Linked DNA regions of Cricetulus griseus. The protein of the gene in region 6 purifies or fractionates together with the protein of the main gene of each other region. This does not show direct contact. Links are inferred from orthologs where the notes say so. Each region holds a gene or a part of one and is shown on either strand. Other genes may lie near its edges.

Region 1 (5,323 bases), on a different chromosome or scaffold from region 6:
GTTTTTTGAGACAGGGTTTCTCTGTGTAGCTTTGGAGCCTATCCTGGCACTCGCTCTGGAGACCATGCTGGCCTCGAACTCACAGAAATCACACTGCCTCTGCCTCTGCCTCCCGAGTGCTGGGATTAAAGGCGTGGGCCACCAACACCCGGCCAGAGTGTTGGTTTTAAAGAAAGAAACTGTGAGGTCCATTTCATCACAGGATTATGATAGAGCTAAATCAATGGGAAAGGAGACAAACTCAGTTATAGCACTTGTCAAACTTAAAACACTATTTATACTACATGTTTTCAGGTAATTTTTCTAAATATCTAGAGTAAATTACTCCCTTGGTTCTTAGGAACCAAGCAGCCATCAATTAAAAATCAGCAAACATTACATGCAAACACAAGGATGGCAGTAAGAAATTAATACATCCATGCCTTAAAGAGAATCAGAAAGGTATAGAACAGTAGGCTTTGGAAATTTTAGAGTAAACATACTGACACTTCCAATCACGAAACCAGAAATCCCAACCAGACTGTTACCAACCTTTCTACTTAACAGAAAGGTCATGCGGGCAGGGCTTCTCCCTCTGGATCATTCAACCTCTTAGACATCAGTGTGTCTTCACTTCAAGCCAGGCAAAAACCCCAAAAGGCAACACATTTTCTGCATGCTAGTCAAATACCTGAACTCTGCGTTTACGAAACGATGACAACATGATGGAGGAATGTGGAGTCTAAAGAGGGAAGGGAAGAGCAAGATAACACACTTCTAAGGGCAAGTGGGATAGAATCACTTCAAAGTGAAGGCAACAGATCTGTGAAAACACCAATATTTATTTAATAGCCAAGATTTCCCCAGTATCCAAATCCCACCAGGAATCTGAAATGTATTAAGAGAACCAAGGCTCCTATGTCTTAACAATTACCATCACCTAATGGGCTGCCTTGACCAAATCGAACACTCTTTTAGGACTCAGTATTGATTTTTTGTTTGATTGTTTTGTCTCCCCCCCACCCCCACCCCAAGACAAACATTTTTTGTGAAGCTCTGGCTGTCCTGGAACTCACTATTTAGTACAGGCTGGCTTTGAACTCAGAATCACCAGCCTCTGCCTCCCAAGTGCTGAAAATAAAGGTGTGTACCACTACTGCCCGGCATTCAAGTGTTGATTTTGAATACTGAATGTTCTTTTAAAAATAAATATGGCCTCTTTTAAAAATAAATTTGGCCGCTTCTCATCCACATTCAGATGAAATAGGAATCTCAAAGATTTTAGGAATTTGCATAGTAAAAGTAATTAAGTAAAAGCATTAAGTCATTAGTTGGTGCAGTTCCCTTACAAAATACTATTATTTCCTACTCAAAACAAGTATAAGCAGTATGTGCAAGAGAGATGGGAAAGACGCTGGTCCATTGCACAGCTGTTCCAGTCAGCTAGCTCTATGTGATCAGCTATGCAGACCTCTGCATTCCTGGAGTCAGCACTTGCCATCGTATCACTGCATTCCTCTGTAAGGCCACACAGCTCATGAGCTGTGACAGGCCCAGATGCAGAGAGGAGTTAGTTATCCAGTAGCCAGGGAGGACTAATTACAAAAGCAGGCTGCCCTCAGATCTCCTGTCCTTTTAATGTTCCAGAGAAAGGATGGGGGGAGCTATTCCTAAGAGTCATTTCACAATATCCGCAGAGGCCCCACCCTTTGAGATGAAAGCAGAGAAGGAAAATAATAGAAAAATTCTAATCCAGGGAACTTAAAGATATACTTAATACACTCTCCCTACTTAAACTTGTTCATTAGATTACTTGACATCAGTTTCTTCAATTATTAGATTATTACAAAGCATACAGCCAAGCCCAAACTTGGCACTATCAGCAGCTCCTGCCTGCCACAGACCCAGCTACTCAGGAAGCTGAGGATAAAGCACTAGGCCAGAACCCAGGAGTTTTAGATAACATAGCAAGGCCTCATCTCTTTAAAAGAATAAAAGCCAAGGTTGGTGGCAGCTAGGCTTGTTGGCAGGAGCATAGTGAGTTCGAGACCAGCTACAACCAATTACATAGTTCCAGAAAGAACCACATATCAAGACCTTGTCTCAAAAAGTAAGGAGTGGGACTACATATTTGAAATAAGCCCTTAGGCCCTGGATTTACCCTAAGAAGTGTTTCACACTTGTCTGGCATAAGGCAAACCTTGTGTTCCATTCTTTTTACCTAGGTCCCTGGATAACAGTCAACACACTTTGAGGGTCCCTTTGAGGAATTAATGGCCCAGTTACTAAAAAAGGCTTATTGTTAATTTCCTGCAGGGATCTTACTGCAGCTCTTTTTTCCCCACTGCAGCACTTTTTTTTTTTTTCCAACTTTGACTTCAATTTGACCTTTAAAATCTAAGACATTTAGTATGAGTGGGATCCTTGGCTCGATAGCTTCATGCAACTCACTGTTGCTGATGCTATTCTTAAACTCCTGTTTCCTGGCTGCAAGACACCCCCACCCTGCCATCTTTGATACATTCTGCTTTACTTAAGTCCAATTGCTATGACAACGCAGTTTCTTTATGAAAATACTTCGTATTCCTTGACAGCCATGATGATTAGCTTTTCGAAAATACCAAGGGTAAGAACAGACAACTTAAAATATTTGGGGGTATATATCTGATTATTTGGGAGGCTGAGGCAGGAAAAACCTGAGTTTGAGACCAGCCTAGGCTATTTAGCAAATTCCATGCCAACATGGGCTACACAATAAGAGTTTGAAGAGATATTGGGGTGTTGGGGGCAGTCAAAAGGACCCTGTAAAGTGTAGCAGCTAAAAATTATCTCACCCCAGCTTTCTGGGCTATTCATTTAAAATACATCGAGCCGTACTTACACCAAAGCCCCTTGTTTTATATACATATGTACTTCCAGTACCCGAGAGGCTTTTAAAATAAAATTTTTCGTTGAGAAGCATTTCATCAAATTTACAAGGACAGCTTCAGACACAGACAAAAGATTGCTCTATCACTCCACAGTGGCACGGTGGCAAAAATTTGGCCAAAAAATATATTAATTTCGACTTAAAAACAAACAAATAAACCCAGTCTCACATAAAAAGAAAGAGAAGAGCTGTAACCTATTAAGTTATTTATTGGATTTGTATCTCCTACCAAGTGGCGCCGCATCTAACTACTGTACAGGAGCAGGTCAGCACTGGAGAGAAAAAGACATTTATTACCAGGAAAGAAAAAGGAGACCGTTCTGCGGCTTGAGGGCCCGGGATCGCCATACAGGATGAAATTAAGGTCAGAGAGCCCTTCACTGCAGACGCCAGGCTCGTCCTCTTCCACGAGGTGCGGGCACGGATGGTGCGGATGCAGTGCAGTGGGGGGTGGGGGGACGCTCGCGGGTGGGTGCCATCGAGGACCACCCACCACCACCTGCCGCGATGGGTGGGGCCGCGGGCACAGGGAGGGGCCCTCGCGCGCCTTCCCCACCCATGACAGGCCAGGTCGCCGCCCGGCCCCGCAACCCACGCGCCACAAAGGCGGCGGCAGCGGCGGCCCACGGAGCCGCCCGTGAGGCCCCACGGCTCACCTGTCCGCACCGCTGCGGTGCTCCGCAGCCCTCGGCCCTTCCCTCCCCTTCCGCCGCCCTTTCTCACCGGCTCCCGGGGGTGAGGGGCGTGGGTCGCCGCGCTGAGGGCTGCTGAGGAAAAAGATGCGGCGCCGCGGCCTCTGCCTCACGCCGTTCGCTCCGCAGCGGCTAGTGGCGGCGACGCGCGCGCGCTGGGGCTTTTATAGGCGACCGCGCGCGCCCCCGCGGCGGCCGAGCGCGCGCTCGAGGAAGGCTCCCGGGTTGGTGACGCGAGGGGCGGGACTCGCCGCTCGATTGCCATACGGAAAGGGCCGAGCGCGTCCGGAAGGGATCTTGGCAGCGGTGCGGGGGGAGTGGGGGTTGGGATAAGCAACGCGAGGGTGGAGGCGCAAGGGGAGCTCGGGGGCGCGCGTGAAGGGTTCGGGGCGCGGCGCGGCGCGGCGCGGCGCAGAGGAGTCACCGCCTCCGCCCGCCGCGGCGTGGGTCCTGCAATCCTGCCCCGCCCAGTCCGTCCTGCAGAGAATCTGTGCCGCGCCCCTCCGCCCCTGGGAGCCCTTCCGGAACTGCGGCGAAGGGCGGGGCGGGACCCATCGCCGCAGTCAAGCTAGGGATGTTGCTGCCCTGGCCGGAAAAACGCGCTGTCCTTTTCGGGTGATCTCACCAGAATGTTGGCTCTCCCTCTCCACTTTCTCAGGAGGAGGCTTGGCGCTGGGAGCCCCGAGTGTTCCTGTTCTGTTGGGGGCTGGGGCCAAGAAAATCAGATGATTTTGGGGCCCTGTGTTTGAGATAGTAGGGGAAAAAAAAAAAAAAAAGCAACCAAATCCTGATTAGGAAAAAGAAAAAGACTGGTTTGTGGCATTAAGCTTTTATTTCAGGATTTGGAGAATTATTCAGCATTTTTTCTTCCTGTTGCAGTAGAACAGGGTTCGTTCATTCTCGTTGATAAAAAAAAAAAGACATTAGTGTTTCTTTCCCCACAATTAATTGAACTTTGCTGTGTAGGTGACACTGTGTGCTACCTCTTTAGGCTTTTAACCTTTGCACTAATTTTACAAGGTGGATATTGCCTTCCTTGTTTTACAAATGAGCACCCTGATGCCATAAAGGCTAGCATTCTACCCGGGTCAGGTACGAAGCAATTAGAAAAGCTAAGATTTTAACACAAGCAGTTGCAGGTGGTGCTGGACTTTTTAGAAGAGGAAAAACAAGATTTCTGCAATTTCTGTATTTCAGGGCCTGGCTCTGAACTCTGTAGCCAGGCTCCCCTCCAGCAAAAGCTCTTTCCCTTCCTCCATTTGGAAGACAGCTGTGTAGCAACCATTCGAGTAGCACCCAGCTCATTCCTGTGTAGTCAGGCCGACTGGGAGTTCTGCAGCTCCCCCAGGCACCAGCCTCCTGGTTACCAACCGCCCTCCTCGTTAAATAATTACAAAGACACTGGGCCTTGCTCCAGAACTCGGGTGAGGCCCTGTCCTGATATTTCTGTTCCTCTGCAGTTTGGCTTCTCCAGAGCCTAGGATCTGCATTGTGACTTTTAAGCTGCTCTGGCTGTAGGCATGATAGTGAAGATTCCCAGTCCTTTTCCTTGGAGTGGAGAAACACAAAAGGAATGGCCACACCCCAGAAGCAGCTTCACAAATCTTGAGGAAAGGAGGCATTTCCTGCAATCTTTACAGAGAAAATAGGTTGGGGAGCTGCTTCCTGAACTGTTTTTTTTGTTTGTTTGTTTTTTGTTTTTCCTCCCTCCAGACAGTGTTTC
Region 2 (4,640 bases), on a different chromosome or scaffold from region 6:
ATGCACAGGTACTTGACAGTCACTGAAAGTTTCCTTCAGAATTTACAGGAATCTTTGACTTACAAAGTATAAGAAATGTTAAATATGACTCACATACATTTACAGAGAACAGCATCTAGAGGATTCCTCTGTGAAAATGAGGGACTAGTAATAGCAGAATGATCCAAGGTGTGCCAGCTGCCATCTTTACCGGGATAAAGGAAAGTGTGTTTGTGGTATAAAGAAGGTAGAATGTAGAGAGTCACAAAAAAAAAAAAAAAAAAAAAAAAAGAAAGGAAGGAAGAAAGAAAAAGTCTTCCTTTCAAAGATCTAGTCTTTTCCAACTCTCTGACTTCCTTTTCCAGTTGGCTAATATGATACACACACACACACACACACACACACACACACACACACACACACACACACACACACACACACACACACACACACACACGAGAGAGAGACAGAAAGATCTATGGTTTGATAGAATAAGAGGAGAAAAGATGAGAGAAGCAGCAAGTGAAAGTTGCTATTATTATCATATTTTACTCTGGTGGCCCTGGGAAGGGTAGAAAGGATAAAGATAGTCTTAAGCAACTAAAGGGAAGAACATCACAAAATGTAGCCTCAGAAAAACACTTCTCTCTCCAGGAGGTTATGTGGATTCTTGAGAAAAAAACTCCTTACATCAGTTTAAGTTTCAGTACAGCCACCTCACAGAAATAGGGAGTGATGCTGCCCAATTATAAGCATGTGCCACATGTTAATATGAACAAGTTCTCTGAAGCCTCATTTATAGGTTTCTTTTGATAATATATCTTCCTATACAGGGATGTATCTCCAAATAAAGCTAAGGTAATTGTAACTGGATTTGATCACACAATTAACTATAGACCACAATATATACAATCAGACACTCAATTCATTTGCTGCAGCTGCCAAGTCTCCAGAAAATTTTTGCTGCAGGCTGTGCTTTTTTTAAGCTTTAAGTTTGAAATGTTCTACAACACTAAAAGGTATACTTTTACTCATAAGATACTGTTCCTTGACATTCTAAGAAAGCAATAATGGAAAGGCAGCCATAATAACGTGGTAACATGCTGAGAAAAACTGATTATGAAGCAAATAAGAGTTTATTTTTTTCTTCTTAAAACTTTTTAGGGTATTTTTCCACTTTCTATTAAATATATTGATGTTACTTCTGTCTGATAATCTATATTATCACTTAAACTTTCACACAGATATAGTATCACAGCTACTTCAATACTGTAGCAACAATAAAACTTGAGAACTGAAGAACACAAATTTCTTCACAAATTTATTGTATAAAGTATATCCACTTAATTTGTCTTCTTATCACTTTCAAAATACATAAGAAGCTCAGTGGATGAAGAGGCCCTTTAAGATGACTATAGTCACATTTATGGGTCCTATAATCAAGGTAGCATACATACCACAACAGTGTTCTAAAGGCTATCCCAGGGGGAAAAAAAAAAAAAAAAAAAAACCACATTACCTTATCACAGTATAGAAAGCACTGTGTTCTTTTTCTCCCATTAAGGTATAGTTTTCTTTTTTTAAGCCACTGCTTTATTTAGCATTACAGTAAATAATAGTTCTGTTTTGATTACTACAAGAATGAAAAATGATTTGAAAAAAGCATTTCCAATGATTTGAAAGCTACATTTTCCCCTGCCAATTTTAAAATATAAGGTTGATTTGCACTAATTGTTAAAAGAATCAAATCACAAGCTCAACAAATTAGCTGTAGCTTGTAGTAAAATGATATACCAGTATGTCTCTCCTTAGTTAAAAATACATAATTCTTTTATTTTCTTATGCAACAAAAGAAATTAACATCACAGACATAGAAGACTAGGAATGGGAAACTACATTAAATATCCAGTAATTTAAGCCTACTTGTACTTTTCTACAGCACATGAATATTTAACACTTTTTGATGTAAAATTTAATTTGGGGGATATACAATGTAATTCTCAGGAGTAATAGTTCCATTCATTTGCAGGCCTGCTTACTGTGTGACTAAGTAACACAAGGCACAGTAGCCATCCTTTCTGTTATGCTGCAACACTGATCGAGTGCCTTGAAAAATAGCTGATTAAATAAGATGATGGCAACAGAAGGGGAGACTTTGGATTGTCTATTTAAAATCTAGGTAATAATAAAGATTCATTTTAAGAGCACTTTTACATGCTTGTTTATACAACAAACTTTGTAATTTTGTTGCAATAGGCTTGACTAACCTATCATTTGGCCAAATGCACTTTCCCCAGTAAACTTAAAACAACAAAAACAAAAACAACAACAACAAAAAATCCCTGTCCTTTCATATACTAAGAGGATTGGCTACTGAAACAGTTCATTGCAAGACACATGAAGACAACATACTGTGGCATGAGTTGTTTTAATTTGCTGTGCTGTTACTAAAGTTCTGAGGGCTGTGGTTCAAACATTCCAAGTTCTCCCTTCCATCTTTATTGATTCTCAAAATTTTGTACAGAAAACTCTTTGGGGGCTAGAACAGCAGTACTTGCACCATACTGTTTCTAAGACTTCAAGTTTCAAAAGCAAACTGATAGGGAAAAAAAGGAAAAAAAGAAAAAAGGTCCTGATTTGAGCTAGATTCAGGGACAAAAAAAGAAAAAAAAAAGAAAAGAAAAAAAAAAGCAAGAAAAAAGCACATACTTGAAGATTACATGGTCTACAAATGGTGGCAATGTTTTCCTTGCGAGAGTAGTTTTGTTGGTATATATATTTTAAATACTCAAAAAGGCTCAACCTCAAGCAGTAATAAACACAAGCAAAAGTGATTTAACCCTTAAAATAAATATTCAGAAAAACCTCTCTGTACATACAAGTGAAAGAATATGTAACACTTTCACGCAAAAAAATAATTATAATAATAATAAAGGATTTGTTCATATATGTAGCTGAAATCTGCTGTTCAGCCCACAATGTCCCCAATGAAGAAGGGAGGCACAGACATAGATGACTACTGTGGTTCACTATCTTACAGCCTTTTTGTACTGGGACACTATCACCACCAAATTATCCCTCTTACTATATTTATTATGTTTTTTTAAATGTTTTTCTTTTTTTTTTCTTTTTCTTTTTGTTTTTGCTTCTTTACAGCATGCCAAATCCTTTGGCGTATGTGATGGCCTTCAACAATCTCTCTTTAAGTTTTTCTTTGCTTGAATATTCCGGTAGTAAAAGGACATTAAAGCAAGTATGAGATGTAGGTAACCTAAATAGAGAGAAAAACAGGAAAATCATAAGTTGTAAGAAATATGCTCAGTGTGAAATACTCCTATTAGATGCTTATCTAGTTAAAATGGTTTATAATGAGAAACTACAGATTAGATAAATCATAAACAGTGTGCTGTTTAGCTACAAAGATCAGTTGGTCTTTAGCCTATAAAATAATGCTAACATGATGAAGGTGATAGTGATGACAGTAATATTTTGCATTTACTGAGTTTCTACTCTATGTTAGCTATTGCTTTAGATACTTACCTTTGTAGTTCATTTACATCTTCACACAACAAACATACCAAGATTACTAAACCCACTTAAAAGCTGAAGTCACTAAACAACTTAAAGTACAAAAACTATTCAAAACTATCATTAAAGATTTCAGAGTCTGCTCCTTTTCTTTTTTTTTCCCTTTCCCTTTCTTTCTTCTTCTTTTTTTTTTCCCAAGACTGAATAGAAATACAATTGGTGGGGCTGGACAGATGGCTCAGAGTTCAAGAGCATACGCTGCTCTTCCACAGGTCCTGAGTTCAATTCCCAGCAACCACATGGTGGCTCACCACAATCTGTAATGAGAGCTGGTGCCCTCTTCTGACTTTCATACATCCATGCAGGCAGGATACTATATACATAATAAACAAATAAATCTTGAAACACAATTGGCAAAATGACAGTGAAAATGATTGAATGGCAAATATAAATTAATTAAAATTAGATCCATAATGTATTATCAACTAATATAGACTAGACAGTAATGAAAATATATCTGTAGATGTATACCAAAGTCAACATACTTCTATGGATATGTCATCCAGCCCCACTATAAAAGAGAAAAGTATTTAATGGGGAAAGGATACAATCATATGTCAAAATTATGTAACTCAGGATTCTAGAATAAACTTTAAAAAACAGATAATCCTGAAAATTTCAGTGTAAGCATTCTAAATACACTATTCTATAAAACAGCTTTCTTAATAAACTTTATTGGGATGATAAATCATACCAATTTGACAAACTGTACTCATGTACCTCCCAATTACTTTTTAAGTATGTCAATTTTACAATTGAATAATAAAGGTAAAATATCCCTTTCACTAATGTTTTGTTGACTTGGATATTTCTATATAATATCATAAGTGAGCACAGAGGCTAAATGTCTCTGATCACATGTGTGCAGCATGAAGTTTAAAGGTTTACAGTGGAGATGGAGTTGCACTTCAATATTTACCTTTCTGAGTCTGGGCCATTTTTGGCTATAATCATCTTCAATTTTCCCAGTCCTCCAACAGGTGCTCTGTCTGTGCCAGTTGTAAACTGCAAGAAGAGTCTTTTCTGTTCATCTGTAAACGAATGAACAGTTTCCCAGAACTCCCTAATAAGAA
Region 3 (5,497 bases), on a different chromosome or scaffold from region 6:
CATAAAGCTCTGATGTTTTATTCTGTATTTGTACACTTGTTTCAAATTAATTGCAAATGGATAATAATCTCAGTTCTCTTCCCTTCATTTCTCCAATTGATTTTCCAATATAAATTCAGTTTGTGTTTATCTACATGAATTGCAACTTTAATATGTTGTTGTTGTCTTTCTTTTTAATTTTTTCTTCCCCTTATTGCACTAACAGCCATCAAAATTCTCAGCTTTGCTTATATATATATTTGACTACTTATTTTTTGAGATTTATGACTACATAATTTCTCCCTTTCCTTCTCTCCCTCCTAACCATTCCATATACCCTTCTTGCTCTTTATCAAATTCATGGACTATTTTACATTACTTATTGTTTCATGGATATATGTACACATATATGTGCAACTTTATTGTTTAAGTATTATATAGTGTGATGCTAGTACATACAAAGCTTATTCATTATTATTATTATTAACATTTTGTTTTTTCAAAACAGGGTTTCTCTGTGTATCTCTGGCTGTTCTGGAACTCACTTTGTAGAACAGGCTGGCCTGGAACTCACAGAGATCTGCCTGCTTCAGCCTCTTGTGCTGGGATTAAAGGTGTGGACCCTCACTGCCCATCTATGCTTATTCTTTTAAATAGCTACATTACATTACATTTTTAAAAATGAATGGCTTTACTATAAAGATATAGCAGGTAATTTTAATCAGATAACTGGATTCGCTGTCTACTTATTTTAGACTGGGCTAGAGATAAGTTATTTTGAAACTAAAACTGTCATCCTCTTTTAACATACTATAACTATTTTATTGCTAACAATCACCATATAGTAATCCATTTTATGGCATTTTAAAAGGATACACAAAGAAGTAATACGCTTAAATGTGCTGATAATTTGAAAGAACTTCAGATTTTCCTTTTAGTGATTGAGACATCTGAGGAAGCACAGTGTATTTGTGAGAGAGAACTCATGTGCGTATGCTTTTGATTAACATTGACTCTGGAGTTTAAACTGTGTTAGAAAGTCCTCCAAATTAAATCTTGAGGCTTTTTTTTTTTTTTACATCTAGTTAGATACTGTGTAAGTTCACCCACAGGCATCCAAATGATTTTCAGTTCATCTTCTTGACTACATAAAGTAATTAATTTTTCAAAAATAGATGAAATTCCACTCCCAGACTGATTGTCACAGATATACTTTGCACTTAAGTTGTCACCAATAAGGCAGGTGTGTTTCATTGGGCATAATTATGATCTCATGAGCTATTGAGAAAAATAAATTAGCAAATATCACTGCAGTCAATGTATTCATCTAGATTTCTGCTGTTCATTACTTGTAGATATTAAATACTTGAAATGGGGCTAGTGCCACATCCTGAAATGATGGTAGTATAGATACATCAGATTAAACAATATACATAATTAAGGATAATTTTGCTTTTGCTTGCTTTTTTCTTTTAAAAATGACTATAGGAAAATGTTTAAGTGCATTACATTTCTATTGGACAGTGTTGACCTAAATCCCAGAAAAGATCTATCTAGTTAAACTAGGGAACAACACTCTTGTTCAAACTGCTTTCATTAAATTATTCTGGCACTAGAGTAATATGAGACCAGTGGAACATGGTACATTCCTTGTGAGACTGAGGCTGACGCCATTCCTCATTCCACAATGTGTCCTCTATCTAGGAACCACGAGCATGTATACTCATGGGTCCCTATAAAGAGCATTTCACTTCTGCTCAATTACAGCTTAACTTTTACCCCTGATATAGTGACTTGGAGTCACATTTCTTCCTTTGTCGATGACTGACTGTTTTCCAGTAGCTTTGAGTCCAACCTGAGTGAGACAGACACAAGACTTCCAAGCACAGATTCCATGTTTATCTCATTTGTAATGCCATCTTAGTTTTCTGTCACCATTTCTCTTTTCTCTGGGAGTCTCATCATAATGTATCTTACTGTACAGGAAGAGAACAGTGTATGGACACTTAACAGTATCTGAAATATGAAAAGTTATCAGTAATCAAAGGTGAACACTCTACTGAAGCAATGGCACTCCTCCAGTTTCTTTGGACAATGTGCAAGCTAATCCAGTTTCCAGACCTTACTGTCAGACTTATGTCAGTCTTAGTTCCCATCCTTCTTACCTGCCTTGACTCTATATGGAAATTTTGGATCAAACTTAGCCATAAGTAATGTAAACACTGTAAACTCCACAAGTGTGTCAGCATTTATATTCCTACCAGACCTCAACTAGATCTTGAAAAGCCAATGGAAATACCATATTTGTGATTGCTGTGGTTTAAGCCACTCAGGCTTCTAAGGAGTTACACTTTGCTGTTACCACTCCAAGTAACAAGAAGTTGACCATTGCATTTGGAGGGAACCTTGGAGATGTCTACTTCACTTATTCTTCCAGTCAGAAAACAACTGAAAATTGATTCCACACCTCCAAAATAGCAACTTGTAAATCTTGATTTGCTTTAAAGCTCTCAGGGATGATTTATTGTCTTGGTTGTTTGGTTTTAGAGACAGGGTCTGCCTTTGTAGCCCAGGCTAGCCTTGAACTGCACTCTCCTGGTGCTGGGATAGGCATGTGCACCGGGGTACTTATTCTTTTAAAGTGGCCGTGACTTTCATGAGTCAAAATGAGACTCCCTTTTTCTCCCCTCAGACTTCAATAGAGTTTAAAAAATAGCTACAGGGAAGAGTATCTAGGACATTTATTTTGCAGTTTCCTTTGGAGATTTTCAGGGGTCTAACAAACACACAAAAAATTTCCCTCGATTATATATTTTGGAATCCATATCCATCCAACTATATTCCTTCCATTAAACTATAAGATCTGAAAAACATCCTAGAAAATATTTTAGCACACCATCTTTGTTTAACTAACTCAAGTACCGAGACCTAGAAACAAATGAGACTTCAATTTAGACGACAGTACGGGAGGCAAAGGAGTACAGAGAGACAGTAAACTCAAATACATCATGGGGTTCCTAAAATTAAACAAAGAATTTACTAAAACGGACTGATAAAACTTATTTTTCTCTTCTCAACGATGTGAAATTTCACACTAGACACCACACCGCCTACAACTGGATCAATTACATATTAGCAGGAGACTACGGCCATAAAATGACTGGTATACAGCACCAGCCCACCTTCTCTGTGAATTATGAAAAGCTAGATAGATATGTTCACCTGTTCCTAAGAAGTTGCCCCCCCCAAGGTTACTTAATTAAAAGAAAAAAATAGATTTTCCTTTTAAAAGTCCTACGATATTCAAGCCCAGTAAGTCCTTAAAAGGAGTCACCATGCTTCCCTGAGTTGAAGTCACTTTTGCTTACCCACATACCTAGAAAGAGGGGGCGGCTCCTTCAAGTCACTGGGTATGAGGTTATATATACTCTCGGAAGTGCAGGATGGGTCCATGGCTACCAAAGGATTCCTTAACACCTACTCAACTTTTGGCTCCCTATCCCACTGTCTCGGCTCCTTTTCTCGCCGCTTTTTTCTTTTCTTGCTCTCTTAACAAGGAACTAAAATTTCTCTTTCGTATAATAATCTCCCTTTGACCCTTTACAGGAAGAAACTATTCTGCTCCTCTGGAGACTGCTTAGCGTTGTTGGCCGCGTGGTTGCTGTGGAAACAGTTGCTAGGAAACGGGCTGGTTTTTCTCGGGTCCCTGTTTTCTAACTCCTCCTGCCTGAGAAATACGTAAGAACGTTCCTGCGCCTTTGGGAGAAAGGACATGAAAACAGTGTCCCCTTACCCCCCCATCCCCACTCAAAAAAATATTTTGCTGTTTTTCTTCGGTACATCTGGGAAGAAAAATTCTACCACAATAGACAGCGTGGCTGGTGCGCAGGCGTCACACAATAGTGTCCCACAACCCGGCCACGCCCCTCCGGGGACGAACCGCGGGGCCGGGGAAGGGGAGGAGCCGCGAACCAGCGGGCGGGCGGGGCATATATGTCACGTGACCGACATAGCGACGCGGCGCAGTCGGCGCAGGCGCAGATGCAGCAGCTCTGGGGCGGGCGTACCCGCTGAGGCTACCTTGGAGGTGCCGAAGCTGCTTCCCTTTCCCCTTCCTCTCCCCGGTCTTCTCTGGGTGGTTTACTTGGTGAGTTAATGGAGGAGGAAAGAAAGGCTGGCGCGGGTCGTTGCTCTCGTACCCTTCCTTCCTTAGCGCGGGATCAGGCTCCGCGAGGTCATCCACCTGTCTCACCGGTCCCCGCGGCCCGCCCTGCGCTCCGCTATGGCTCCGGGGCGCCGGCGGGCGCGAGTGCGAGCCTGCGCCAGCAGGATCAGCTTTTAAAAGTGGGCCTCCGGTTTTGCCCTGGTTTCAGCCCCCGATCCCTTTTTGACATTTTCTTTTTTCCTCTCCGAGAAGTGCTTGTATTCCGTTTTGAGCCGTTTGCTCTTCCTTTCTTGCTTATGCACTTGTAACTAACTGCAAGCTCATTTAGAAACCTTGATCCCAGTTACACACTGCTTTGGGAGGGAAAATCCATAGCTCTCAATCCACTGGGAAGGTATCCATTGGGGAAATCGAGCGCATCACTTCTGCAGTTCCCATTGCCTGGTGGATGGGTTAAATGGCCTAGTGGTTTAGTGAGCTTTTCAGTTCCTCCTTGGAAGGCGGTCCTCGGTGCAAATCCTAATTTGAGGCTCCTTGCTAAATTTCTTTCAATAAGAATAGGGAATACGTTTAATTTTCTGTTTTTCAATTTGATAGAATTTAATTTTTCTGGGCAGCCCATAGTTAGATAAATGGCCTTTTGGGGGATGGTTCTCCTTATTTCACATCAGTTCCATAGATTTAGGTGCAAAACAGAGATTAACCATTTTTGCCTTGGAGAAAAATGGTTGTTGTTCTTTTTGTTTAACATGTATAGAGAAAAAAAATTCTCTGGGAAATCTGCTCCTGTGCATGCTAAGGTTTGAATTATGAATTCATAGAATGACAACAGTATTAACCAACTTGATCGTTATTAGGCAAGACATATATACCTTCCTGACCTCAGGATTGAACCCAGTATTCAGGTATGTTAGGCCAGTGGTTGGAGCCACATTGACACCCCAAAGCGTATACATGTTCTAATTGGAAGGAATCGGTATGTGAAAGAATGCAGCTTTCAAAAAAGGGAAATGACATAAAGTTAACCCACATTATTCATGGATTCTCTATGTTAATGTCCTATTTGCTCAAGTTTATTCACAATCCCAAAAATCAATACTTGGCTGCACATTTTTAGTCATTTATTCATTCATGGCAGTGAGAATTTTGAGGTATGATATGTGCACATTCCCAGCTGAAATCAAGCAAGATGTTTGTTGTCTTGTTTGGGGTTTCAGTAACAGATACCCTTTTTATATTTTGTTTAGTGACACATATTTTGTATCCTTCTGGTTTCAGTAGCCACAAAAACAGGTTCCTAAACTCAGTACTCAAGTGCTCTATAGTAGCTCCAAGTATGAAGAGACTCCTGGT
Region 4 (4,836 bases), on a different chromosome or scaffold from region 6:
AGTGGCTTTCCTGTGAACTTCAATAATGCCAGTCCCCAACAATATATCCAGAAAAGACAGGGTCTTTTGTCAGTACCTCAGCTGACCTTTAATCTTTTTATTGGCTTTTTGTTGTTTTGTTTTTGTTTTTTGAGACAGGGTTTCTCTGTGTAGCTTTGAAGGCTGTCCTGGAACTCACCCTGTAGACCAGGCTGGCCTCAAACTCACAGAGATCCGCCTGCCTCTGCCTCCTGAGTGCTGGGATTAAGGATGTACACCACCATTGTCTGGCTGTTCATTTTTTTTTTTTTTCCTTAGTCAGACACTGTGTCTTTGATTGGAATCATTGCAGCAATTGTTTCCATGGTGTTAATCAGGGAGTAGAGCTCAGAAAGTGAGCATGTAGAAAAAATTTAAAATGAATCTGGTTGAGTGTAGTGGTACATATCTATAATCTTAGCAATTTGGAGTAAGACAAAAGAATGACAGGATCAAGACCAGCTTGTATACAACAGGAGTAGTATGTCCTGGAAGAGATTAAAAATGAATAAATCAATAACTAAGAAATAAGTAAACAAATAATAAGTAAATAAATAAATAAGGAAGAAAGGAAGTAACGAAGGGAAAGAGTCACAACACTGGCCTTGGAATAAATAGAATATTGAAGGTGTTACATCGGTATGTTTTCTTAAAGTTTTAAGGGTATTTCTCTGGTTGCTCTGACAAAATTCCAGACAAAGGCAACTCAATGAAGGAAAGGTTTATTTTGGCCTAATAGTTCTGGAGGATAGGGTGCATCGAGGTAGGGAAAGCAAGGTGAGAGAACATGGGATAGTGGGTCACTCTCAGAGGATATATCGTGTGTGAGCTCTGAAATTTGCTCTATAGGCCAAGCCATCCTTGGACTCAGAGACCCCCCTGGCATCTGTTTTTAGGTGGCATTGCAAGTCTACATTATTCTGAAGGTTATTAATACTACTTATTAGCAGAGTTACTGATGTCTGAAAAGGCAATTGATTAGATTTCTTACTTTACCTGTGAGTTTTCCTGGCTTCTATTATATGATTTTGGAGACTAACCTTTCAGAAAGATAAATGATACTAAAAATGACACTATGCTTTTACAGCCTGAGATACTAGAAAGAATAATGAACATGGTTTATCATCTAAAGGCTGCTATCTATCACTCATAGACTATGGTCGGTCTCTCCCTCTGAGCTCTTCATCGATGTTTTAAGTAAAAAAATTCATCCAGCTGACTTCAGATGAGATGTTAAAGTGGGTGAAAGGGATTGAACCCCTGACTTTTTTTGTGTGCTAAGCAAGTGCTCTACTGCTTAGCTACATCCCTAGCCCTCTTTAAATTTTAGATTGAGATATGGTTTCACTAAGTTTCCTAGGTAGACCTTAAACTTAGAATTCCCCTGCCTCAGTTGTATGACACCAAGCCTAGATACTTTTCTAAATTACTAAAGGATAGCACAAATATATGCTTAATGATACTTTAATTTCCTAGTGTTTATGGAAACAACATGAAAGCTTGTGTAGGCAAAACAGTACTAGTAATCATCAGCGTTGTACATGTTCTGCTGAGACTATTACTTTGTTTATTGCATAATGATACAATTGTGTCTGAAACCAGAGGTGCTGAATTAATGTCTATTATTTATTCCAGTTGTATATGTATCAGCTGTTCAGAAGTTTAGCCTATATCCATTCCTTTGGAATCTGCCATCGAGATATTAAACCACAGAACCTCTTGTTGGATCCTGATACAGCTGTATTAAAACTCTGTGACTTTGGAAGGTGAGCTGGCTTTCTTACTTCCCTCATACTCAAATATATTGCAATGGTAGCCTAGGTCCTATAATCCTTACTCAGGGGATATAAATTAATGTAGTTCCCTGTGAGGATGGTTTTGATATTTTTATTGGAATACTAAATGTGAGTACCTTTCCTCCTACAGTTAACTTCTAAAAACTATTTACAGAGAGATTATGTGTGTTTAGTGTCTTTAATATAGCATTGTTACTAAATATCTACTAGCAATGAAATGTCCAAATAAGTTGATATATACAAATACAATGTTATACATGCCGCTGAGGGTAAAAAATGAGGGAGCTGTCTAAACTGGATGGGAATGACATCAAGGAGGTGTTAAGTGAGAAAAGTCAGGGCTAGCAAGATGGCTTACTTGGGAAAGGCACCTGCTATCAAGACTGACAATTTGAGTTTGATCCTTGGAACTTGCTTGGTCCTGCAAGTTTTCCCCTGACCCCTACAGGAGTACTAACATTCAAGCTTGATGGCTGTGATGACACCTGCTGATAATCCATGCTCAGTAGACTAAGGTGTCGGAGACCATTAGTTTGAGTCTGGCCTAAGCCACATAGTGAAACCCTGTGCAAAAAGAAAGCCACTGCCACATCAGCATTGTGTGCGTGGTATGCTTTTGTTTTAAAACACTGGGTGGGGGTGGGGGTGAGGGGAGGGAGAGGGAGAAGGGATTGACATGTGAAACAAGCTTGTTCCTAATTTGAACTAATTAAAAAAAATCAAAAAAGAAAAAACACTGGGTGTGACTGTTGTGTACAAACAGGCATACATGACCATGGCTCATTTCTGAATTGTTATGTAATATCCCATACATGATTACTCCTAAAATGTCCATTTTAGGATTATTTCGTACTTGGGAAACTTGCATTCTTATTGATCTTTAGTACTACTTGAATATATATATAATATATATAGTGTGTGTGTGCTCCATTTTCATTACAAATACTTATGTTAAGATATATATATATATCCTTTTAGCTTCACCTTAACCTCAATTAAGAATGAGATAAATCATTGAGAAGCAGTATTAAGTTTGATTCCGTGGTCATACACTGTAACTTAGTAGCAAAAACTTCCTTTTCGGTAGTCAGTAGCTGTAAGCCTCCCAAGATGCAGTCAAGCTCCTTTCCATAATAAGACAGGTCATCACACTTAATCTGCGATAGCCACCAGTGAACCTCTCCTCTTTTTGTTCTGATACATCTGTCTTTATAAACTTGTTAAAAATTCTTCTTTTTCAGTTTAGCACCACAGATTATATATTAATCCATACTTGCTGGCAACTGTATTTCCACATCTTTTATATAGACTTCTATACCAACCTCAGATTAAATTGTGTGTTTAACATCAGATATATTTCCCATGGGTGTAGGGAGGTACCTGAAGAAACTGAGCAAACCTGCTCTGTCAGTAATTTCATTCTTAGTCTCATTGTGCACCTCTTTCAAACATCCCTGTTTTACAATTTCCTGATTACAAACCCTCTCCCAGTATCTCACTCAGCAGGCTGTGGCTCTGCTGACAATAAGCACCTACAGCTCATGTTTGATGGTTGAAGCAGAGCACCACTGCCCAAATGAGATGGGGTTTGATACTACCGGTTACCTTGCTGTGGAAAGTGACTGCTAAGTACTAGAAGAGCCACCAAGTGCTTAGGGTTCCTGTTCTCATCACCATGTTAGAGCACCATTAGCACTGGGATTCTCTTGGGATGTAAAGTAGCTTTGGTCTGATAAGTGGAAAGGGAACTTTCACAGGTGTGGAAACAGCTCATTCTTACCAACTCTCAGGACTTTGGAGACACTTCATGCTCTTAGGTACTAGGGTGGCAGAAACTCAACCAAACAGCCTTACTCTCTTTGTAATAATTTTTTAGTAGCTGAAACAAGGTCTGGCAGTAGCTGGAAAGGCTAGCATGGCATGTCTAAGGACCAGATTAGGTGAGGCCATAAGGCAGAGAGTCAAAACCTCTCATTTGCTTCATTGTTATTGAGGGGGAAGAATATACAGCCTGTAAAAGTATTCCGTTATAGAATTTTAACTTATTGTGAAATTTATTTCACAATTATTATTTATTTCACAATTATTATGAAGTTATTTCATAATAACTTATTATGAAATTTAAGAATCTGTTTGTCAGTTTAAAATGGACCTTGTTTGTTTGGGTTTTGAGACAGAGTCTCTCTGTAGTCCTGGCTGTCCTAGAAACCCACTGCCTTTGCCTTCCAGTAGAGTGTTGAGACTTAAGGCATGGCCAAGGTTTCCTGCTGTTTGTTTGTTTGTCTGGGAGCTGAACTTTAAATGTCACATCCTAGGCAGCTGCTTTATCAAGGAGCTATATCCCAAGCCCCCAAAATGCACTTCTGAAGATAGAAAAGTCCATTATTAGTTATACTGAAAGCTAAGTGTCTTGATTTTCTGATAGCCTGAAAATATTATGGTTGTTTAATAACCATTAATGTGGGCCCTAGAAGGTTAAATTGTGAAACTGCTAATGAAGGGAAAACAAGTTAAGTTTAGCATCATCATTGACTAAAAGTAAATTGAGGGGAAGGAAGCCTAGACTTTAAGGTTGAAAGGTCATTTTCCCCTGGCTGTGTCTTTGCCTTCCTGTGCCCTTCCTTACCTCAGATGTTTTCTGTTGTGATTTTGTTGCCTGTATTTATCTCCTGTGTCTGTGACGCTGCTGTCAGTGCATCTCCCAGTGTGGCTTGCTGATTTGAAATGAGTTATCTGAGAGACATTTGAGAGATGCTAACTGTAATTCACTTTAATGTTTTAAGTGTATATACTGTAAAATACTTCAGGAGCAAAGCTGCAATAATATGTAAACAGCATAGCAGGGATGGAATGGATAGGTTCTGAGTCACTTTCCCCCTCAAGTTGAATGCCTTTTTGCAGTTTGTTTAGAAACAGGTGGTTAGATAGCAAACTGACTAAAATATCAAATCATGCATAGGTTGGTTGTGTAAGCCTTGAGCTGGCCATCCTGAGTCAGAAGTCAAATATAAAACAGTCGGCA
Region 5 (4,836 bases), on a different chromosome or scaffold from region 6:
CAACCTTGTTCTGAGGAGACAGTCGGGTGGTAGAGTGAGTAGGAGTTAGGAGAAGCAAGAGAAAAGAAAGTGGGAGCCCATGGGGTTGAGTCACACCTTGAAGACATTCGGCACAATGGAGCGGTGGTAGCCAGACCAGGTCTGCTTTACCAGATCTGCATAGGCCTCAGCAAGCTCACCCTTCATGCCCAGAGGGTTCCGGAAGTTGAGCTCCTCCAGGTAGCGGTTGTTGAGAAAGTACTCCGTGAGCTGTGGCACATTGCTGAGGCACTGTGGTAGTAGGGCCCAGTGAAAGAGGTAGAGGAGAGGTGAGGTGGCCCAAGTGAGAACAGAGAAGGAGGGAGGACAGGGAAATGGGAGAGAGAAGGGGAAGGGTTGGCAGTGTGAGTGCAGTAGAAGTATTGGGGAAAGATGTCAGTATCTCTGTAGGAGGAAATGGCAGTACCAAAGGAAAGAAGCAAGAACGGGGAGCAAGTAGAGGGAAAAGGTGTTGATACTTCAGGAGAAAATGTGGGCACACCAGATCAGATTTGTGGAGCCTTGGCTTTCAACCTGACCCCTTGTACTGTAATCATCATCCCTCCATCCCCTAGCTCTGTCCCCAGTACCTAACCCCTGGAACTGTGCCAGACATAGATCTAATGGCCCAACCTGTAGGGCCGAGTTCATGAAGCACGTGTTGCCCAGATTGGTAAGGCCACAGATGCCCGGCTGACCCTGGAAGTCTTCATCCTCTTCTGGCATGTTGTTCCTGGGGTTGGATGAGAAACCTATGAGCTAAGGGCCTACTACAGGTGGGTGCTCTGTACTCGTAGGTTCTGTCTCCCTACTGTGGGGTGCCCCAAATCTGCACGACACCCCGAGGGCTCACATGCCACACAGCTGTGCGCTGGGCCAAGTGCCATCTTTGTTTCGGGTTTCCATGATGACCAACTGGGCCAGGGTAGAGAAAGGAAAAAGAGAAGTATTAATGGAAAGCTTAAAGGGCACCCTGCCCTTCCCTGGTCTGACAACTGCCAGGGATCTACCCACCAGGCTATATATGCAGAGAAATCCTCCCCACTGTTACCTGTCCAGTCTCAAGGGAGGCATCAAGCAGTGTGATTTGTGTGTTACACAATCGATCCAAGGAGCCCTCAGAGTTCTTGACCCAGAGGCGTGTGTCTTCCTGAGGCTCCACCAGAAACTGCTCCCGAGCTGTTTGCAAGACTAAGTCTGTGGAGGTTGATGGAACATGGCCATATATTCTGGGACCCCAGAATACTGGGCCATTTGATAGCTTTAGCTCATTTTCAGACTGTTTACTTAGCCAATACCTTGTGTCCTCAAACAAATCTCCAAATGAGTGAGCCACACACTAAGCACCCCCCCAGGTAAATAAACACTATTTTCCATCCCACCTAAGCAACTGCAATACAGCTCATCCTCTCTGGACTCCAGCAGATAGCCAGTGTCTGCTCAACATGGCCACTGCAACATTTGTCTTCCACAGTATGACTGGTGCCTTCTCAGGAAGCTGTAACTGGATCCCCAGACACCCTCAGGCTATTGAGATGTGACTCATGATTAGGAATAGCAATTTGTGCCAGAGGCCCACAAATAGCAATTTGTGCCAGACTCACCCAGAGAATCACTGTGGCTGAACTGAATGGTGAGAGCTGTTTCCATATCACTGTGCTGGACAAGCAGCAGCTCTATTGGGTATAATTCCACCTTTCGGATGCCAGAAACTTCTATGACCTGTGAAGGCAGAGGAGCACCCATAAAACCACCCAACTAACAGGGGGAACACAGGTACATACTCTGGACCTACCCTGAGCCTACAGTTAGAAATCTAAAATCCACCCCAAGCATCTGCTCCACACATATACCTTGCGCTCAATAGGTGGCTGGTCATCTTCTAGGCCATACCAGCTGACCAGGTAATTCCATGAAGTCATTGGGAGCAGCACATAATCATCTCCTTCTAGCAGTCCCTCCCTGAGGTGCCAGTTTATCTGATCTGCAGGGAATAGGGAGTATGGACAAGGCACAGCATGGATTAAGAAAGGACTGTTAACTCTGGCTACCACCAATAACTAAGCATAGAGAATGGGAGTGGGGACAGAGAAGATCAGAGCTCCAGGGCAAGGTTGACGGGGAAAGGCAGAAGCTTAGTACCTTCGAAGAGCCCAGAATTGTTGATACAGCCAGGAAAGGTATTAGCATCTTGGTCCCCTCCCTTCACGTACACCTCCCACTGTTTATACCAGTGCTGCTCCACAAGGAACCTGGAACCCAGACAGACAACAAAGATGTTATGATTATTTGGAAGCTAGCTGTACAACTTCTCATCACTTGCAGAATTAACTATCAATCCATTATAATCCAAGAAGAAAACTTTTTTGGGTTGTTTTTTTTTGAGACAGGGTTTCCCTGTGGCTTTGGAGGGTGTCCTGAACTAGCTCTTGTAGACCAGGCTGGTCTCGAACTCACGGAGATCCGCCTGCCTCTGCCTCCTGAGTGCTGGGACTAAAAGCATGCGCCACCAACACCTGGCTCAAGAAGAAAACTTTTAGCAGCATGTAAAATAAGTAAAAAGTAGAATTTATTCAGTGAAATGCATTTGGACATTATTCAATTTTTTCATTCATTGCCCTATTTTTTGAAATGAGGTCTTGTACCACCCAGACAGGCCTGGAACATACTATGTATGTAGCCCAAGCTGGCCTCAGGCTCTACGGATCCCTCTGCTTCAGCTTCCTGAATACTGGGATTAAAAGGTGTGTGCACAGTTCCCCACATTCAACTATGATATAAATCTAGTCTGGAGTCTCTTTTGAGACAGGGTTTCACTACACAGTCCCGGCTGGCAGTGAACTTGTTGCCTCAGCTTCCATGCTAGATTACAGACATGAATCACACCTGGCTTTGAATTTCTGTGTGTTTTGGATGTTTGACTGTACATTACCCTCTCCACTCCCCAGACCATGCCACATCATTCACTCCAGAAAAATACTCATTGCCACCTGGGAGCTCATGCCAAAAATCTGTCATTCAACTTACAAACACATACATTCCTCCTACCGCTTACTGGCCCCTACACTCAGTTTATGAGGTTCATGTATGGAGTACAGTTAACAGTATTTTCAGTACAAAGGGAGGCACCTGTCAACCTTAAAAATAAGATTTTTGTCAGGCAGTGGTGGCGCAAGCCTTTAATCCCAGCACTTGGGAGGCAGAGGCAGGTGGATCTCTGTGAGTTCGAGGCTAGCCTGGTCTATAAAGCGAGTTCCAGGACAGGCTCCAAAGCTACACAGGAAACCCTGTCTCGAAAAACAACAAAAAATATTTTTAATTACATATATCCCCACGTGCCTGTGGGTGAAACTGTGCTCACAGCGGCCAAAAGCTTCAGATCTTCCCTGGAGCTGGAGTTACAGGCAATTGTGAGCTGCCTTACTTCAGTGTTGGGAACTGAAGTTGGGTCCTCTGCAAGAGCAGTACACCCTTTTAACCACTGAACCATCTCTCTAACCCCTCACCTTCCTAAAAATCAGATGTGAAAGGAAATTTTAGCACTACAATCACTCCGTAGCAAAACTTCAGTTTAGGATTGGGGATATAGTTTAGTGTAGACCACTTGCCTAGCATACAAGAGGCCTTAGACTGAATTCTGTCTCTGTCTCTCTGTCTCTGTCTCTCTCTCACAAGCGCGCGCGCGCGCACACACACACACACACACACACACACACAGACACACACACACATACACACACACACACACACACACACACACACACACCTAACCAACCAGGTAAGTATAATTGGGAGAGGCAAGAAAATTGCTTTGAATGTGGGCCCAGCCAGGGCTAGAGTAAGGCTTAATCTCATAAAAACCACTCTGGGGCAGATATTCTCAGAACAAGGCAGTTACTGACTCAGGGCAAGGTGGGAACAAAGCAAGGCCACTGGTGACTGTTATCAGGTCAGAGTTAACTCTACCATAAGCCCCAACTACAAATGTCCCAGGGCATTGCATCATTGAAACACTGCTTAACTGTCTAAGCAGAACACCCCTGCCTCAATGAAAGCCATCTCTTACATAAACTCTTTACTGGTGCCTTTTTCCATCTTGCTGAATTCTTTCTTTACTCCTATCACCAGCCTATCACCATCATCCTGCACAATTAAAAAAAAGTTACAGATGGTAAATATAACATTGCTCTATCAAATTTACTTAAATAAGTTGAAGTACACATAAAGGCTTACTAGTAAGTCCTTAATTTCCTACTATCCTGTGGCCAACACATCAAAATATGATCAAGATTTGGGTTTGGGTCTTTTGTATAAAATTACTAGTCATATTTTTGTCACCAAATTATTACCAATTCTTAGTGCTTTCTTTTTCATACTTTTAATTGTGCACGTGTATAAGTATGTGCATGTGATCTTGGGAGCTCTTAGAGGACATCAGATCCCCTGGAGCTAGTTACAGATGTTTGTGGTCCACCTGACATGAGTGCTGGGAACCAAACTTGGGGCCTCTGGAAGCAGTATATACTCTTAATTGCTGAGCCATTTCTGATGTCCCCCTTTTTTCATTCTAATTTTTGTTTTGAGGCGAGGTCTCACTATGTAGCCCTGGCTGTCCTGGAACTCACTATACAGACTGGGCTAGCCTAGAATTTAGAGATTCCCCTGCCTATGCATCCAAGGTGCTGGGATTAAAGGTGAATGCCACCACCTAGTTGCATACTCTTAATTCATCTTTTTTGTTTTGAGACAGGGTCTTATATAGCCTAGGCTGCCCTTGAACTATGTAAAGAGGATAACCATAAGTACCTAATAATCTGT
Region 6 (3,544 bases):
ATTCCAGGGCACCTTCTGCTATGGACAGACACACAGACACCCAGACACCCAGACACCAAAGAGTAGGACACAGTTCTCTTTATTGTGACGCTCAGTGGAAACATCTGTAAACCAGCTTACTGTAGTGGTGACAGCTGCGACACATGCTAAGGCACTTATATTATATATATATAAAAAAAAGGGGGGTGCGGGTCCCACTCACTCCTATGTGACAGCAACTGGGACTTGAATTCAGAGCTTTTCCGGCATACGTAGCTTCACGATTTGACTTTGTTTGGTTCTAGGGAGTTTGTTCCCTTTTAAAAAAAAAAAAAAAAAAAAAAAAAAAAGCCTTCTTGACTTAAGGGAGTCTAAACACACCAATTACAAAACAGTGAGGTGCACAGAGAAATTCAGCAACCAGTGTAGACCATTGTAGAACAGGCTACTTTCTTCTAAACACAGTTCCAGGAAAAAGCAGTGAAAACACCTAGAACTGTAGCCCTTATTCCAAGAAAGGAAAAGAGGAAAAACCTTTTTTTTTTCTCTCAAAAACATCCATGTGGAAGGCAGATCTGAAGCTATAGCATTGGCGGTGCAGCTCAGCCACCCTTGGCCCTGGTCCTAGGAGAGGCACAAGAGTGCATGGTAGGTCCCAGCTCTTGGATATTCTGGCTGCAAGTCCCTTAACCATTAAATATATTTGGTCCCCTAGAGTGCTGGGAGAAGCCACCGGAAGGCTGTTGGCCTTTCCAGTGTGGCCCTGATGCCCTGTCTGGTTGCCCCGGTGCCGGGATAGTCTGCCCTCGGCAAGGGAGGGAAGGGGCATTGCACTTGACACATTTTACAATCGGAAGGGGCAGAGGCACCAGTGCTACCCGGAAGGGAATGGGGAGAGTTCCCCGAGTGCCCCTGTTCTGCACCCAGCACAGAGGTGGAAGCCCTGGACTGCTCCTTCTGGATCAGGAAGGGCCCAGGAAAGGGGCCAGAGGGCAGGTGTGAGGTCACCATGTGTGATTGCCAACAGCAGAGGAAGGAGTGGGGAGGAGCTGGCAGCAAAGGTGGGGGAAAGGTGACAACACTTCTAGAGGGCCTGAGCTATTAAAACCTTTATCTAAAGAAAAAATAGATTCATAGAAAACTCTTGTGCCCACTCCCAGGGCTGCCCTCCTTGCCCACCACCTGTGCTTTCAGGCAACTGGGGCAAAACCTTGCTGGTCACTGGGCCTGGGCCAGCCTGGACTCTTTGGTATCGGATTCTTGAAAGGTATGGAGGACTATGCAGCAGAGGAAGCCAATGCCCTCAGTAAGGCCTGGGGGTCGGGGGTTGTCAGGGTCAGAGCAGTCTCAAGGCAGGGGTGTGGAGGGGAGGCGGAGCCGTCTGTCTGTTGTCTCAGGCAGCAGAAGATCCTATTCAGCTGGCTTGGCCTCAGCCCCGTCTGCTTTGCCATCAACCTCCTCATCTGAGCAGTCGCCAGTGCCTTTCCGGACAAGTCGGCGGGTCACCACAAACGGCAAGTCTCCACGCCTGTGGAAGGGGCAGAAGCAGTGTCAGCGGGGCCCAGCTAAGGAGTGATGGATGGGCAGCCCGGTGTGCAGATCTCAAAGTGGATCTTCAGAGGAACTCCTGCCAGGGGAAGTGAGCCAGGCAGCACTCTCAGGAGAGTGGACCATCAGAACCATCACCAGCCTTTTCCTGCAGGTGTCTTTACCACAGAACACCAGCACAGGGAGGTTGAGTGGAGGCAGGTGGCACTGTTGCAGGGTGAGTGCTGAGTGGCAGAACACATGCCTAACACAAGTTGGACCCCAAGTTCCATCACAGCACCACAAAACAAAAAGATGTAAGTAGACCCGGAACCTCAGGGAACAGCTGTTCACACAGGAGTCGGGGCATCCTCTGATCACATTAGAAAACACAGATGAAATTCTCATGAGAGTCTTATTTTCATACTTTAAAAAACATTCCCTCTGATTGGAGGAAGAATGGAGACTCCCCGAGATCTGCTGCAGCCCAGCAAAGTTCTAACACTGACAGAAGCCTTGCTTTCCTTCCCGCTGCATCGTGATGCCAGCATTCACTCTACAGAAAGTACAGACCCTGGGCCAGAAGGCCTCCAGCAGCCAACTCAAAAAACCCAGCATGGAAACACCCCCATTAGGCTTTGAGTTGCAAGAGCATGGACTGTTAAAATAGGCTTGGAAAAGCCAGGTGGTAGTGGCACACGCCTTTAATCCCATCAGAGACAGGGGCAGGTGGATCTCTGTGACTTTGAGGCCAGCCTGGTCTACAAAGCAAGTTCCAGGACAGCCAGAGCTGTTACACTGAGAAACCCTGTCTTGAAAAAACAACAACAAAACAAAAGGCATGAAATGAACTGCCAAGAATATGCAGTTGATTCAACAGCCTGGCTAAGCCCCAAAGGCAAGAAGACCCCGGCAGGACACACTAGGGTGGGTACCCTCTACATCGGTCACTACGCACCTCTTCCTTGTACACTGGCTCTGGAAGGAGATGACTCTCTGAAATGCACTCAGAACAAACTACTTGAGAAAGAGTAAGGTCTAGGACAGGAGACTGACTCACCTCAATTTGTTCTTCAGGGAGCTGACTTCCCGGTTCATGGCATCGGCTGTCTCTGTGGCATCTTCCAGCTCACGCTGCAGCTTTCTGCGTGAGGCATTGGCCCGCTGGGCTTCCTCTTCGGCCTCCTCTAGCTGCCGCTTAAGCTGCTTCAAGCGGGTGGACGCCTTGTCGGCCTGCAGAGACACGTGGCTAAGGTAAGGGGCCCTGAAAGAGCGGCCCACCTAGAGCCAAGGCTCTGTCTGAGCACAAACCTGGTCCTTGAACTGCTCGGCATTCCTCCGCTCGTCTTCCACCTGCAGCAGCACATCCTTCAGCTTCTTCTCGGTCCGGCGCACCTGTTTGGAGGCTGCCTGGCGCTCCCTGGGCACGACAGACATGGTGACTGAAAGGGGACACTCTACCAGATGACACAGCCAACTCCACTTCCTGGGGCCACACGGAGGCCTGGAGACCGATGCCCTAATCTTTTCTGGACACCTCTGGAGGTGTCTTTTCCGGACACCCAGTAGCTGCCATCTCAGGATGGGACCTGGGCTGACCCATGAGACCAGTGAAGGAGCCAGCCTATGGAGAATCTGAGGCTTGGGACCCAGCATGGTCCTCATTACTTCCAAGTCTCAGTTCTGAGCCCCAAGACAGCTAGGCAGGGTCTCTCACTAGAACAGCCCACAAAGCTCCCAGTTCTGGGTGTGGGCTATGGGTTCCCACCCAAACTCCATACTTCTCAGAACAAATGAAGACTGCTTGTGAAGCCTGGAAGACAGAGCTCATTCCTGACCCGACCGGCACTGACTGCCCTCAGTTTGGGTGGGGTACCTACTTGGTCTCATTGTCCAGCTGTTCCTCCAGCTGTGCAATCTTGGCCTCCAAGGCAGCAATGGAGGCCTTGTATTTGGACTTGACAGCACTCTCCATCTCCTGCAGCTTGGCCTTGAGCTCCTTGTTCTGGCGTTCGAGCTGCTGCCGCGCATTCTCGTT

Evidence for each region.
Region 1: the proteins of Myh9 (region 6) and Sptan1 fractionate together in Homo sapiens (co-fractionation; 3 studies listed by BioGRID and IntAct, with this or other methods). This does not show direct contact. The link is inferred for Cricetulus griseus from reciprocal best matches to the Homo sapiens genes MYH9 and SPTAN1.
Region 2: the proteins of Myh9 (region 6) and Ube3a purify together in Homo sapiens (affinity purification with western blotting; 3 studies listed by BioGRID, with this or other methods). This does not show direct contact. The link is inferred for Cricetulus griseus from reciprocal best matches to the Homo sapiens genes MYH9 and UBE3A.
Region 3: the proteins of Myh9 (region 6) and Enkur purify together in Homo sapiens (affinity purification with western blotting; 4 studies listed by BioGRID, with this or other methods). This does not show direct contact. The link is inferred for Cricetulus griseus from reciprocal best matches to the Homo sapiens genes MYH9 and ENKUR.
Region 4: the proteins of Myh9 (region 6) and Gsk3b purify together in Homo sapiens (affinity purification with western blotting; 4 studies listed by BioGRID, with this or other methods). This does not show direct contact. The link is inferred for Cricetulus griseus from reciprocal best matches to the Homo sapiens genes MYH9 and GSK3B.
Region 5: the proteins of Myh9 (region 6) and Usp11 purify together in Homo sapiens (affinity purification with mass spectrometry; 3 studies listed by BioGRID, with this or other methods). This does not show direct contact. The link is inferred for Cricetulus griseus from reciprocal best matches to the Homo sapiens genes MYH9 and USP11.

Annotation. Positions count from the first base shown.
Region 1 is NC_048599.1:141,635,226-141,640,548, reverse strand, and holds the start of Sptan1 (spectrin alpha chain, non-erythrocytic 1), read right to left. Parts: upstream 3,771-5,323; 5' UTR 3,632-3,770; exon of another isoform or gene 3,565-3,631; intron 1-3,564. UniProt on the Homo sapiens protein: Fodrin, which seems to be involved in secretion, interacts with calmodulin in a calcium-dependent manner and is thus candidate for the calcium-dependent movement of the cytoskeleton at the membrane.
Region 2 is NC_048596.1:138,656,317-138,660,956, forward strand, and holds part of Ube3a (ubiquitin-protein ligase E3A), read right to left. Parts: intron 4,631-4,640; coding exon 4,487-4,630; intron 3,251-4,486; coding exon 3,130-3,250; 3' UTR 1-3,129. UniProt on the Homo sapiens protein: E3 ubiquitin-protein ligase which accepts ubiquitin from an E2 ubiquitin-conjugating enzyme in the form of a thioester and transfers it to its substrates.
Region 3 is NC_048596.1:212,466,011-212,471,507, reverse strand, and holds the start of Enkur (enkurin), read right to left. Parts: upstream 3,638-5,497; 5' UTR 3,433-3,637; coding exon 3,356-3,432; intron 1-3,355. UniProt on the Homo sapiens protein: Adapter that functions to localize a calcium-sensitive signal transduction machinery in sperm to a calcium-permeable ion channel.
Region 4 is NC_048597.1:51,923,365-51,928,200, reverse strand, and holds part of Gsk3b (glycogen synthase kinase-3 beta), read left to right. Parts: intron 1-1,653; coding exon 1,654-1,784; intron 1,785-4,836. UniProt on the Homo sapiens protein: Constitutively active protein kinase that acts as a negative regulator in the hormonal control of glucose homeostasis, Wnt signaling and regulation of transcription factors and microtubules, by phosphorylating and inactivating glycogen synthase (GYS1 or GYS2), EIF2B, CTNNB1/beta-catenin, APC, AXIN1, DPYSL2/CRMP2, JUN, NFATC1/NFATC, MAPT/TAU and MACF1.
Region 5 is NC_048604.1:125,518,028-125,522,863, reverse strand, and holds part of Usp11 (ubiquitin carboxyl-terminal hydrolase 11), read right to left. Parts: intron 4,162-4,836; exon of another isoform or gene 4,114-4,161; coding exon of another isoform or gene 4,085-4,113; intron 2,271-4,084; coding exon 2,161-2,270; intron 2,003-2,160; coding exon 1,872-2,002; intron 1,741-1,871; coding exon 1,623-1,740; intron 1,216-1,622; coding exon 1,070-1,215; intron 934-1,069; coding exon 872-933; intron 752-871; coding exon 652-751; intron 271-651; coding exon 97-270; intron 11-96; coding exon 1-10.
Region 6 is NC_048595.1:374,862,587-374,866,130, forward strand, and holds the end of Myh9 (myosin-9), read right to left. Parts: coding exon 3,387-3,544; intron 2,927-3,386; coding exon 2,818-2,926; intron 2,740-2,817; coding exon 2,567-2,739; intron 1,508-2,566; coding exon 1,390-1,507; downstream 1-1,389. UniProt on the Homo sapiens protein: Cellular myosin that appears to play a role in cytokinesis, cell shape, and specialized functions such as secretion and capping. Required for cortical actin clearance prior to oocyte exocytosis. Promotes cell motility in conjunction with S100A4.